Arabidopsis thaliana: one gene and its partners. The protein of the gene in region 1 interacts with the protein of each later gene in a pairwise test. Each region holds a gene or a part of one and is shown on either strand. Other genes may lie near its edges. The genes, in order: EXO70E2, AT3G01300 and AT1G31870.

The links.
Region 2: the proteins of EXO70E2 (region 1) and AT3G01300 interact in a two-hybrid assay, tested with the Arabidopsis thaliana proteins (one large-scale study listed by BioGRID).
Region 3: the proteins of EXO70E2 (region 1) and AT1G31870 interact in a two-hybrid assay, tested with the Arabidopsis thaliana proteins (one large-scale study listed by BioGRID).

What each region holds. Positions count from the first base shown.
Region 1 is NC_003076.8:24,551,682-24,555,436, forward strand, and holds the start of EXO70E2 (exocyst subunit exo70 family protein E2), read left to right. Parts: upstream 1-2,062; 5' UTR 2,063-2,930; coding exon 2,931-3,755. Other genes in the region: RPA70D (Replication factor-A protein 1-like protein), read right to left, coding at 1-6, 107-334, 440-586, 833-960. UniProt on the Arabidopsis thaliana protein: Influences the subcellular localization patterns of other exocyst complex proteins (e.g. SEC5A, SEC15A, SEC15B and EXO84B) leading to their recruitment to exocyst, well-defined large punctate structures throughout the cytosol.
Region 2 is NC_003074.8:91,510-95,264, forward strand, and holds the start of AT3G01300 (Protein kinase superfamily protein), read right to left. Parts: upstream 2,080-3,755; 5' UTR 1,827-2,079; coding exon 1,601-1,826; intron 1,314-1,600; coding exon 976-1,313; intron 889-975; coding exon 753-888; intron 358-752; coding exon 221-357; intron 129-220; coding exon 5-128; intron 1-4. Other genes in the region: AT3G01310 (Phosphoglycerate mutase-like family protein), read right to left, coding at 2,834-3,100, 3,176-3,250, 3,345-3,512, 3,598-3,655, 3,737-3,755. UniProt on the Arabidopsis thaliana protein: Involved in chitin-triggered immune signaling and is required for reactive oxygen species (ROS) production.
Region 3 is NC_003070.9:11,435,049-11,438,803, reverse strand, and holds the start of AT1G31870 (pre-mRNA-splicing factor of RES complex protein), read right to left. Parts: upstream 2,086-3,755; 5' UTR 1,915-2,085; intron 1,553-1,914; exon of another isoform or gene 1,536-1,552; coding exon 1,340-1,535; intron 1,221-1,339; coding exon 308-1,220; intron 31-307; coding exon 1-30. Other genes in the region: AT-IE (histidine biosynthesis bifunctional protein (HISIE)), read left to right, coding at 2,274-2,426, 3,616-3,755.

The DNA of each region.
Region 1 (3,755 bases):
GCAGCACTGTCAAAATCCAAACGAATTTAAGCAAAACACTAATAAAATAACCATTTGACAGAGACAGTAATGAAACATTGAAGATCAAAAAAGATAATTTGCTTACTTTCCCCTTTGTTCACTCATTATCTGAGAAGCTGATTTGGCTACAAATTCCTGCTTCGGTTTCAATGTGATACCAGTAGAAACAACATCATTCAGAGGACTGACAGGAGAATGCTCTAGTTTCTGCTTCTTGGGCTCACGAGCCTCCTCCTCTCCGCTCTTACTGTCCAAGTTAATCTCAGAATCAAGCACAGAACCAACAGCCTCACATTTAGTCACAAGGAAATATCTGACACAGAGACAATAGAGAAACACACATGTTAGTAACTGTTGATTTCAAGAATCGAACCAGAGTGATTATCCATGTAAAGAAGAAGCAAAAGAGAAGTCTTACTTTGTAGATTTGCTTGAAATGTCGTTAACAGTGAAATCAATGAGACGAATTAGACCCAAGTTCTGGATCTTCCCAGAAATGATTTCAGGTGTGAGTGAAGCAGTAAACATTGCTTTGACTTTCGTCTTTCCGTCATTTGCACTAAATCTGTCAACCAAAATCAAAACAGATCCATCAGAACAAAATCGGTAACTAAAACCCAAAACTAGGCAATATACAAACTATTATCAACAAACCCAGATCTCTTCTATCATAGAGTCATCAAAGTCGTTGCATATCATAATCTAGCTATACAATTGTGATTGAGAGAATATAACACTGACCTAAAGCTGGAACAAGCGAGATTTAAGAAATCAAGTAAAACCCAGATCATGAAAAGCCAAGGAAACTTACGTATAGCGATTGCCGATAGGTTTAAGATCCACAACTTGAACAACGATCTCAGATCGATCGGAAGACGAATCAAAGGATGGGTTTGACAAAACGGTGGAGATGGCATCTGGGGTCACCGAAGTCTGCATCTTTCTCTCTAGATATTGAAAAATGAAACGTTTGGTTTCTCTTTAATCAGAATGGTGAAAACTAAAAGCCGTGAGATAGTGAGAAGAATGAGAGAGAGGTACGAGGGTTTTTGTAAAGGAGAGAGCTTTAAGCGGGAGCTATTAAATTCGATTAATTGTTCCCCCGCCGATTTCAATTTCTATTTTTTTGGCAAAAAACTCTTACCGCTTCTTTTCAGTATCTTTCCATTTTTTTGGCGCATTTTGTTTTGTTTGATAATGGACTTTGTATGCGAAAGAAACTGTGTTACAAAAGCCTTTCACTTCAGGCCCATAGTTTATGGTTTTGTTTTTATGTGTGGGTCTTGAATCCACCGTATCACACGTTATGATTCATAAATATCTAAAATTTATTTCCAACAAATACAATTTTTTTGTTTCTTAAAGAACACATACGATATTATTATTTCAGAAAAAGATTAAATACAAAATCCCCAGGATCAAAATCAAACACCAATTCCAGATTAAACAATATCAACAATCTTTAATGTTTTTGACTTTTTTTTTTCTCTGAATGTTTTTGACAATTGAAAAAAATAATTCTACGCATTGCGTGAGGCAAACATTTAAAATTTTAATTTATATAAAGAGAAAATTTATACTTCTTGACTTGGGAAAAAAAAACTTGCTGAGGTCCTTACTTGATATGAGCTGTCAACTACTAGTGTGAGCCGTACAAATATAATCGGACGGTTCAGATCAATACATTGCGAGCCAGTCAAACTTCAAGTATTGACTAATCAACATCAACGTTTATTACACTAATTTATTATTGTACCCCTTATTTTCCAAAAACATAATACTTTTATCCCTATTGTATCCAATAGCTCTAAAAAAATCCACCATAAAATGTGTTTAATGAAATTCGATTATCTCTGACGACAACATTATCAAAAATCAAGACAAGAGATAGAACATAAAATGTTCAAATTCGTAAAAGTAATTGAAACAAATTAAATTCATTTCGAAGTTTATTAATTACATTTTGACCCCCAAATTTAAGTTAATTAGACTTACCATCCCCATGGTTTTCGTCCCGCCATATGGGGAAGTCAATGGACGAATCAATCTCAATTAGATTCGGGGCGGCCCAAAAATTTATCATTTTCTAAACCTTTCGTAATCTACGAAATTACGGGATCGCCTTCGTTGGAATACTAATTCCATTTTTCAACTTTGTTTTTATAAATACAGTTTACGTGCACCACAACTTTTCTTCTTTCCCTTCTTCTTCCCCAATAATCTCGCTGAAACTCTCTTGCTCTTGCTTCTAAAAATCTGTTCTTTGAGACTTTGATCACACAGTTATCAAAATCATAATCTCTTCTTTCCTGGTTTTTTTTTTTTTCTTCTTCTTCTTCCCGTTTCACGGTACGTTTACTCTGTTCGATCACCGAGTGTATGATAAAATGTTTCTGTGAAATCAAATAACATATCACTTTCTAATAAACATCAAAATTTCTCCTTTTTTACAGAAACAAGAAGTTTTTTTGGGAAAGCCGTTGACTTGACTTTTTCTTTGGGGTGTTGTGTGGGAGCTTATAGTATGGTACCATAAGTGGGAGCTTATAGTTTGGGGTGTTGTGTGGGAGCTTATAGTATGAGGAAAAATGTTAGATTTGAAGAATGCTTCACTGATTTTTTACCATAAGTATGTCAACTGGATTAAGCTTAAGTAGTAATGGTTTTTACTATGTTCATGTGGGGATTTCTCTTCCTCTCTGTTTACTTCATTCCGAGATGACTTGAGATTTTTTCAAAGTATAGTTCTTGGAGTTAAGCTTACCTAGTAATCACTTTATATAACATCCCTTCGTTTACATTTGTGCTTTCACCTGGAAACACTTTAGACTTTTCTCTCTTCTGCCGTGTGTATTTAGTTGTCTAGTCAAATTTAAGTTGAGTTTAGGCTCTAGTCTTTGGTTTTGGTTATGGCAGAGTTTGATTCCAAGGTTCCTGTTTCCGGAATGAACAATCATGTCTTTGAGGCATGTCACCATGTTGTTAAGGCACTGAGGGCATCTGATAACAACCTGGATGCCAATTTGAGAAAGCTCCTAAGTGACCTAGAGATGCATTTGTCAACATTTGGGATTGCTGATACCAAAGTTGAAGATGCAGGATTCTCTGAGATCAAGAAGAGATTCAAAGAAGCTGTGAAGAGAATCCGCAGTTGGGAGACAAACCAGTCGACGATGTTTGAAGCTGGTCTGTCTGAAGCTGATCAGTTCTTTCAAGCCCTGTATGACGTTCAAACAGTTCTTGTGGGTTTCAAAGCTTTGCCCATGAAAACTAACCAGATGGAGAAAGATGTTTACAACCAAGCTACGGTTGCTCTTGACATCGCGATGTTGAGGCTTGAGAAAGAGCTCTGTGATGTTCTGCATCAGCACAAACGGCATGTACAGCCTGATTACTTGGCTGTTAGTTCCCGTAGAAAAGATATTGTGTACGACGAGTCCTTTGTCTCCCTAGATGATGAAGTTATTGTCGAAGCTTCTTCACATGAAGATGATGAACAGATATCGGACTTTTATAATTCTGATTTGGTTGATCCCATCGTACTTCCTCACATCAAAGCTATTGCAAACGCCATGTTTGCTTGCGAGTATGATCAACCATTCTGTGAAGCTTTCATCGGCGTTCAAAGAGAAGCTCTGGAGGAGTATATGGTTACTCTCGAAATGGAAAGATTCAGCTGCGTTGATGTTCTCAGAATGGACTGGGAGGATTTGAATGGTGCAATGAGAAAATGG
Region 2 (3,755 bases), on another chromosome or scaffold:
TTACCGGTCATTACATACTCGGGGGCAGCGTAACCATAAGTGCCCATGACTCGAGTAGACACATGAGTTTTGCCTTCATCAGGAGCATCTTTGGCAAGCCCAAAATCTGATAATTTAGCATTGTACTCCTGAAATTGGGACATGGTAAGACTTTAGAAGCAAAGAAACAGACGTGTATATAAGATGTTGATCCCTTGATATAAAGAAGAGGAAAACATACCCCATCCAGTAAAATATTTGAGGTTTTGAAATCTCGATAAATGACCGGCTTTAAAGCTTCTTCGTGAAGGAAACTGAGACCCTTTGCAGCACCTAATGCAATCTTCATCCGAATTGACCATGGAAGAGGCAAGGACCCTTCAACACGAAGCACAAGTTAATTCACAAATAAAAAGATTTGCATCAATGATAACTGAGAAGATAAATCATACAAAAGCACTGTGTCTTTTTAAACACATTTTTTACGCCGAAAAATCTTGAAACAATGAATGCGAGGGATTTACTTATTGCTTCGTGGGTCAATACAGTCAAGCAATATAAACCATCTAAGACAGCACTAAAAGGTACCAACTTTACCATATAGAGCAGAAAGGTTCCAATTTTAGCTGTATAGATTCTAATCACTTTAACAATATGGAGTAGACACATCTCTAAATTGTAGACACTTGTTACCCAAATCGAAAACAAAGAAAAGGAAAGAAAATAACTCTACAGTGTAATTAGAATATGAAGGTTGTAGTTGTTTTACTTACTTCTGAAAAGGTGATTCTCCAAACTTCCTCGAGGCATAAACTCATATACAAGCAGCCTTTGATCATCTTCGATACAATAACCCACCAGTTTAACAAGATTGGGATGGAGAAGATTACCAAGATAATTAATCTCAGCCTGCAAACAGGAACCTTTAGTTGTGTGTTTAACAGTGGAAAAGGATATATATATATAGAAGAAAAGAGAAGGAAGGAAGGATCTTACAAGCCACTCTTTATGACCCTGAAGGCCATCAGGATTTAAGGTTTTGACGGCAACAGTAAGGCCAGTGCCAGGCTTAACAGGAGCAGTTCCGTTCTCCTCGACCCAGCCTTTGAAGACACAACCAAAGCCACCTTCTCCGAGAAGGCTTTCAGGTCTGAAATTTCTAGTAGCCAACTTGAGATCAATGAAAGAAAACTTCTTAAGGTGAGAATAGATGTTAAGTTCTTCACTTATGATAGGAGTGGACAAAGAGCTTTCTGCATTGCTAGTTGTAGTAGTAGAAGAGACTGGGCCAACCGGTTGGTCATTTGATTGCACAATTGCGGACTGACTTCCCACTGTTATAAAAAACCATTCAAATGTCAGTTCCTACAATTGCTGCAATATATATACATTATAATCTATGAAGTAGCTCAAAGTTAGGTAAACCAACCACAATGACATTAAAGGTTTTGCTCAATAAGAACCCTAGATGGAAAGATACGTCTTGTGACAAATATGGAAACAAAAATGAAGAAGATTTGAATCTCAAAGGAAGGGTTTTTATTAACTCTAACGGCACAGGAAACTAAATTGCAGAACCAAATAGAGCAGAGAAGAAAAGAGCCAAAAGAAGAAGGCATACCAGTGCTAGTAGAGAGAGTGAGAGAGGTCTCAACGTCTGATGTTGAAGAAGCGCAACAGACTATATACCTAAATTTGACCCAACACCCATTTGCTTCTTCTTCATAATGTTCACTGTTTCTGACATTGTTGTTCTTCTTCCTCCTCCGCTTCTTCTTCTTCTTCTCATTCTCATTAGATGTCTTGGATTGCCAATTCTCCATAACTTTAACAGAATCGAAACCCATCTCCCCCAAAAAGCAGCTCAAACGAGAACTCAAGAACAAAAAAAGGAAAAAGGACGGAACTTGATCAGAGGAAACAAACGCAAGGGAATTAGAGAGAAGAAGAAGAATCCCAGAAATTTGATCTTGGCGAGAAGAAGAAGTAAGATTCACTTATTAGGGGAAAAAGGAGGTTAGTCAAAAAGGGAATTCATGTCTGTGGAGAGAGAATACGAAGAAGAGAGAAGAGACGGGCACGAAGCGGGCAAGAGAGAGAGATTTGTTGGGCAATAATAATGTAAATATATATGTGTTTGTTTGCTAACTCTCTCTTCTCTTCTCAACAACAGTTACAAAACGCATTTTTCGTAGTTTTTTAAACAGAGACTAATTAATTCCTTCACGGACAAATGTTCCCTAATTGCATTACCAACATTTTTTAAAATTTGATAAAACTATCTATGTATCTCCTTCATTTGGTCATTTTTTAAAATGTTTTTCATGATCATTTGTTATTTTTCAGTTTGTATATTAAGTCGTTTATTACAATTTCCAATCAATTAGTACTATTCTTACTAATAATAATAATTTGTATTTCAATTATCAATTTAATGTCTTGAGATTTTCCCAAAACGAAAAATCCACCGATTATTAGATTGTTTTAGATTCGGTATTTGTTTATCCGATATCATCAGCCTATTCTTTTGCAGATTATATATAAATTCCAACAAATCCGCAACAACTTTAACGTAACAGCATGATATGAAAACACAGTGTTTACAATAAGACTCATCATCATTTCTTGAGTTATAATAGATGAGTCCTATTGTAAACACTAGACAACGTCACGGGTGACTCATTTATGTTCCATGTAATCATATCTTTATTCAAACCCAACTGCACTAGTCCCTTTCACAATTTCACATAGAAAATTAAAACATCAGTAGAAAAACAAGAAGATGATTAAAAACTGCACATAGAAAAAAGCATGAGCAAAATATATATAAGTGGAAAAAACAATTGGTCTCTGCTTAGCTCCTTCCATTAGAAGAAGAGTTCTTATAGTTGTGGAAGAGGTTTACGAGTCGCTCCAGCACCGCAGCACTTTTTGAGAAGTAACCCGAGAAACCAACCGGAGTGGACGCCGGAGGGAAATCTTCCGCCGGCATAGCAAATGGACGAACCATTTTCTCCATTGTCTCCAAGCTTAAACAAGAACCTACTTCTTGAAGCCTCTCTGGTCCCATTATCGGAAGTGTGTGTTCCCTTAGCAATGTCTCTGCCTCGTCGTCATTATTCTGCATCATGTTTCAATATTACCAAAAGTTTATAATATGTTCCTCTAATTAGTTAAAGACATCCTTTGCTCTTACCCTTAAGGGAGACAAATCAGCTCCACGGCTAAATGTAAGTTCAATGCGGAATCTTTTCGGGTCTTCAAGTGATACCTGCATCCGTTTTTTACGTCTAGAGTCAGACACTGAGAGAGCATATACATATATTGAAGCATGTGTGAGAGTCAAAGGGAATGTAATGTTAAACCTCGGTGTTCTCAAAGAGCCTTAGGACAATGTAACTCATGTAATCGAGTTCCTTGGTTTTACAGAGACGTTCTAAGGCGTTTTGGCAAATGAGGCTTTCTTCTCCTAGGAGAGATTCATCAAGGTTACAGTATCGAAGGACGTTCATGAGCGAATGAATATGCGATTCCTGTTCCAAATCATACCAGGCATAAACATTATAGTTTCACTCATAGACAGACTTAAACAAGCAATGGAGCAAAGAGGAAACTTACAGATGTGAAGTAAAGTCGAGTCCTCACATGACGTTCAGGTGTCTTCACATTTGCATACCTAAAAGCGAAATGAAAACCACCAATTAGTAGCCGAAATAACTATCTATATAAGAGTGAGAGAGAAAGTAAAGACTATTACTTTGGATCTAATCGGTATT
Region 3 (3,755 bases), on another chromosome or scaffold:
CCAGTTAGCTCGGAATCCATATTTTTAAACCTGTAGAAGAGTATAATTTGTCAGAAAGATGGTAGCCTAAAAACATGCAATCGCGAATCTCAAATCATCGTTACTGAAGACTGGTCTCTTTATGAATTCCCTATTTAAAGACACAGAAGACAAAATCTTAGAAACTTAGGAAGTAGGCAACATGAAACTTCAAGGAAATAGGAAACTACTCTTGGCCCAATACTACTGAAACTGAAACAAACCTGATGCCTATAACTAAAATGCAGTAACAGATTCTAAAAAGCTTAGTCTACTTTCTGATAATTACCTCAATTTTTCATCCTCCTTTTTCTTTCGATATTCACTTCCAATGTCTTTGCCACTAATCAATCCGGTCTTTCGTTGCTCCTTGCTTATTTGAGGAGGTGATGAATCTCTGCGTGGTCTCCTTGGGGGAGAGCTATCAAAATTGGAACTCCTGGACACATTTTCAGAAGAACGTCGCAAATCTGCGGCTTTTCTTTGAGGCGAAAGATCTGAGTCTTGAGAATCCTTCATATTTATATTCCGGCCGGGTGGAGATAAATCAGCATTCGAGCCAAAAGATTTTGAAGACCTTCTAGCTGGTTCAGGTGATGGAGAATGATATCTTCTTCTCCGTGGAGGAGATAGATCATTGCTCTTCTTTTTTACATCTGAGACAGGTGAACCATGTAAATCTCTTTTCCTGCGAGGCGGAGATAAATCATCGTCCAACTCAACAGAATCTGAACGCTTTCTGCTAGATTCACGCGATGGAGAATGAACATGTCTCCTACGAGGAGGAGATAGATCTTCACTCAGATATTTAGCTTCAGGTTCTGGTGAAGGCGAATCATTCCTGGCTTTTCTTTTGCGAGGTGGTGACATATCTGAATCCAAACTAACAGGCTTGGTATGTTTTCTGTTAGGTTCAGGTGAAGGCGAATTGTGACGTTTTCTCCGTCGTGGTGGTGACATATCTGTATCAACTCTATCCGCAACCGACCGTCTAGGCCCAGGCTCAGGAGAGGGCGAGTCATTACGAGTCCTTTGTCTACGTGGAGGAGAAATATTAGATTGTGTGTCTTCACGGTTTAGAGGTAACGTTACCCACCCACTTCCATCCTCAGCAATGGCATTATGAGCACGCCTTGCCTTAATTTCCTCCAACCTCCTCATTCGCTTAACTTCAATGTCTTCATCAACCAGAGGTGTTTCCTCTATACGAAACAAATGAAAAGAGAACACAATATGTAAATGTGAACTGTTATTAGATCAGGGAAGTGAAAGCATTACAGATGCACAAGTCCAAGAAACAAGAAACAGTCAAGCAATTTACCTGCTGAATCATCTTCGTTTTCGTCCTCTTCAGGATCAACCTGCTTTTGCCAAACTGGATCTTCGTCGACAACTAAAACACCTCTTGGTTCAGGTTTAGATGGCTTCTTCTGCTTCTTCTTCTTCTTCTTCTTCTCTACAACATCACTACTTTCATACTTCTTCAAGTAATCTTTTAAAGATTGGTTTCCTGCCATCTTTGAGAATTTGGAGCCTAAATACCAATGATAAACTTGAAAAATTCAGTCAAACATAACATCTAGACGAAGATATATTCAATTCAGGAACCAGAGGTTCAAGCAGGAATTAATGGCAATGCCACCGTTCATCATCTTAAGAGACCGAATTATAGATATAGCTTTCAAAACCAAATCTGGAATCAACAATTAGTTGCTAAACTCAAATTAGCATCAATCAAGCCCTACGAAAATGAGACTGAATCGAGAATAACAAAAGAATGCTTAGTCTTATATCGTCATCAAATCCACAAATTTGCATCTACTCAAAAGCGATTCCAGAAAACTAGAAAGCTAAACGAAGACAAGCATACATTCATAGAATCGTAAAATTACTAACCTGATCGGAAAATTAACGCCGGAGATGACCGGGAAAATATCAGTAACCCAACGCGAATAGTTGAAAATGATAACTCGGAGAGCTAGCTCTTCTAGGGTTTTTGGATCTCCTGGAGACGAAGAATAGAGAAAAACTTAAGTTATGGCGGAATTTGAAATTTCAAGCAATTAATAGGGATTGCTTTTGTAATTCCTAATATTAAGACATAAATAGGGGCATTTTAGTATTTGCACACATTGCTGAGTCGGTCTTTAAAAAGCCCTTCACTATCACATTGACTTCAGAACAATTAGGGTTAATCTCTTCCGTTGCTTTTTTTTTTCAATCCGCCGCCACTTTTCGTTTCTCGTAGCGTTAAAATGGCGGTATCGTACAATGCATTAGCTCAGTCTTTAGCGAGAAGTAGCTGCTTCATCCCCAAACCTTATTCCTTTAGAGATACTAAGCTGAGAAGCAGATCCAATGTCGTATTCGCGTGCAATGATAATAAGAACATTGCTCTTCAAGCTAAGGTAAACATCTTCTGTGTAATCTTAACTTATAGATAGAATGTTCTGCAATGGAATCGTGTTAAGTTTAATTGTTATCTAAGAACGATTAGAATTTAGATTGAATATTGAACCAGACATTGTCAGGTGCTTACTCTTTGACATATGAGTAATTACTGTTACATGTCGGGTAGAGAAAAAAGAGAGAAGGAAAAGCTTTTTAACCTGAGCTTCATTTTTAGAGTTTGGATTTCTTTTTTAAGATGCTCATCGTTTGCTTGGTCATCTGCATTTGGTGATGCCTGAGCTACATCTGTTCATCACATTTTATTAAAGCATTTAAGTATATTGTTATGCCAAAAGTAATTTAGTTCTATGAACATTGTCTGGAGTAAATTGTATATGTAAAGTTTGGATTTTTGCCAGAGATGGTCAGGTTCCTACCCTTTGACATGTGGGTTTGGACTGTTACATCTCTGGTATAGAAAAGAGAGAGAAGGAAAGGCTTTTTGATGGTTTCCATCTTTAGGTTTGGATGTCTCTTTCAAGGTGCTCATCGTTTGCTTGGTCATCTTTGTTACGTGATGACTTGGCTCCATTTGTTCATCACAGTTGATATCTTTTCAAGGAAATATGTATTGTCTTGCGCTCTCAGAGTTGGATTAATTCATCACTGAATTACTGTGATGCCTTCCGAAGTAACTTATGTTTTAATTTAGAGAAAAGGAGGTTCATGTAAGATGTGTCATTTGTTAATCTATTTTAGTTACGTCATGTACAATTGAGATTTGGCCAGAGATGGTCAGGTTCCTACTCTTTGACAAATGAGTTTGAACTGTTACATCTCTGGTAAAGAAAAAAGAGAGAAGGAAAGGCTTTTTGATGGTTTCCATCTTTTGGTCTGGAGTTTTCTCTAAAGGTGTACATCGTTTGCTTGGTCATCTGAATCTGTGATGGCATGGGCTACATCTGTCCTCCACAACCTGAATAATCTTCATTGAGACATTTCTCTTTTGGCTTTAATATCTAGTCCGATAATGCATTTACTGTTTATACTATTAGAGAGGGGCTTGTTTGATTGAAATGACAATGTTTTTTTCTGTGTTGGTAGTGTTGCCATTGTGCCTTTTATTACTGTCTCAATAAGCAATGTATATGCGGCTGTTGTGTTCCCTGGTAGCTAATCATGGTTTCTGTTGTTTTCTTGTGTTAGGTAGATAACTTGTTGGACCGCATTAAATGGGATGACAAAGGATTAGCTGTGGCAATAGCACAAAACGTTGATACGGGAGCAGTATTGATGCAAGGCTTTGTTAATAGGGAGGCCCTCTCCACAACCATCAGTTCTCGGAA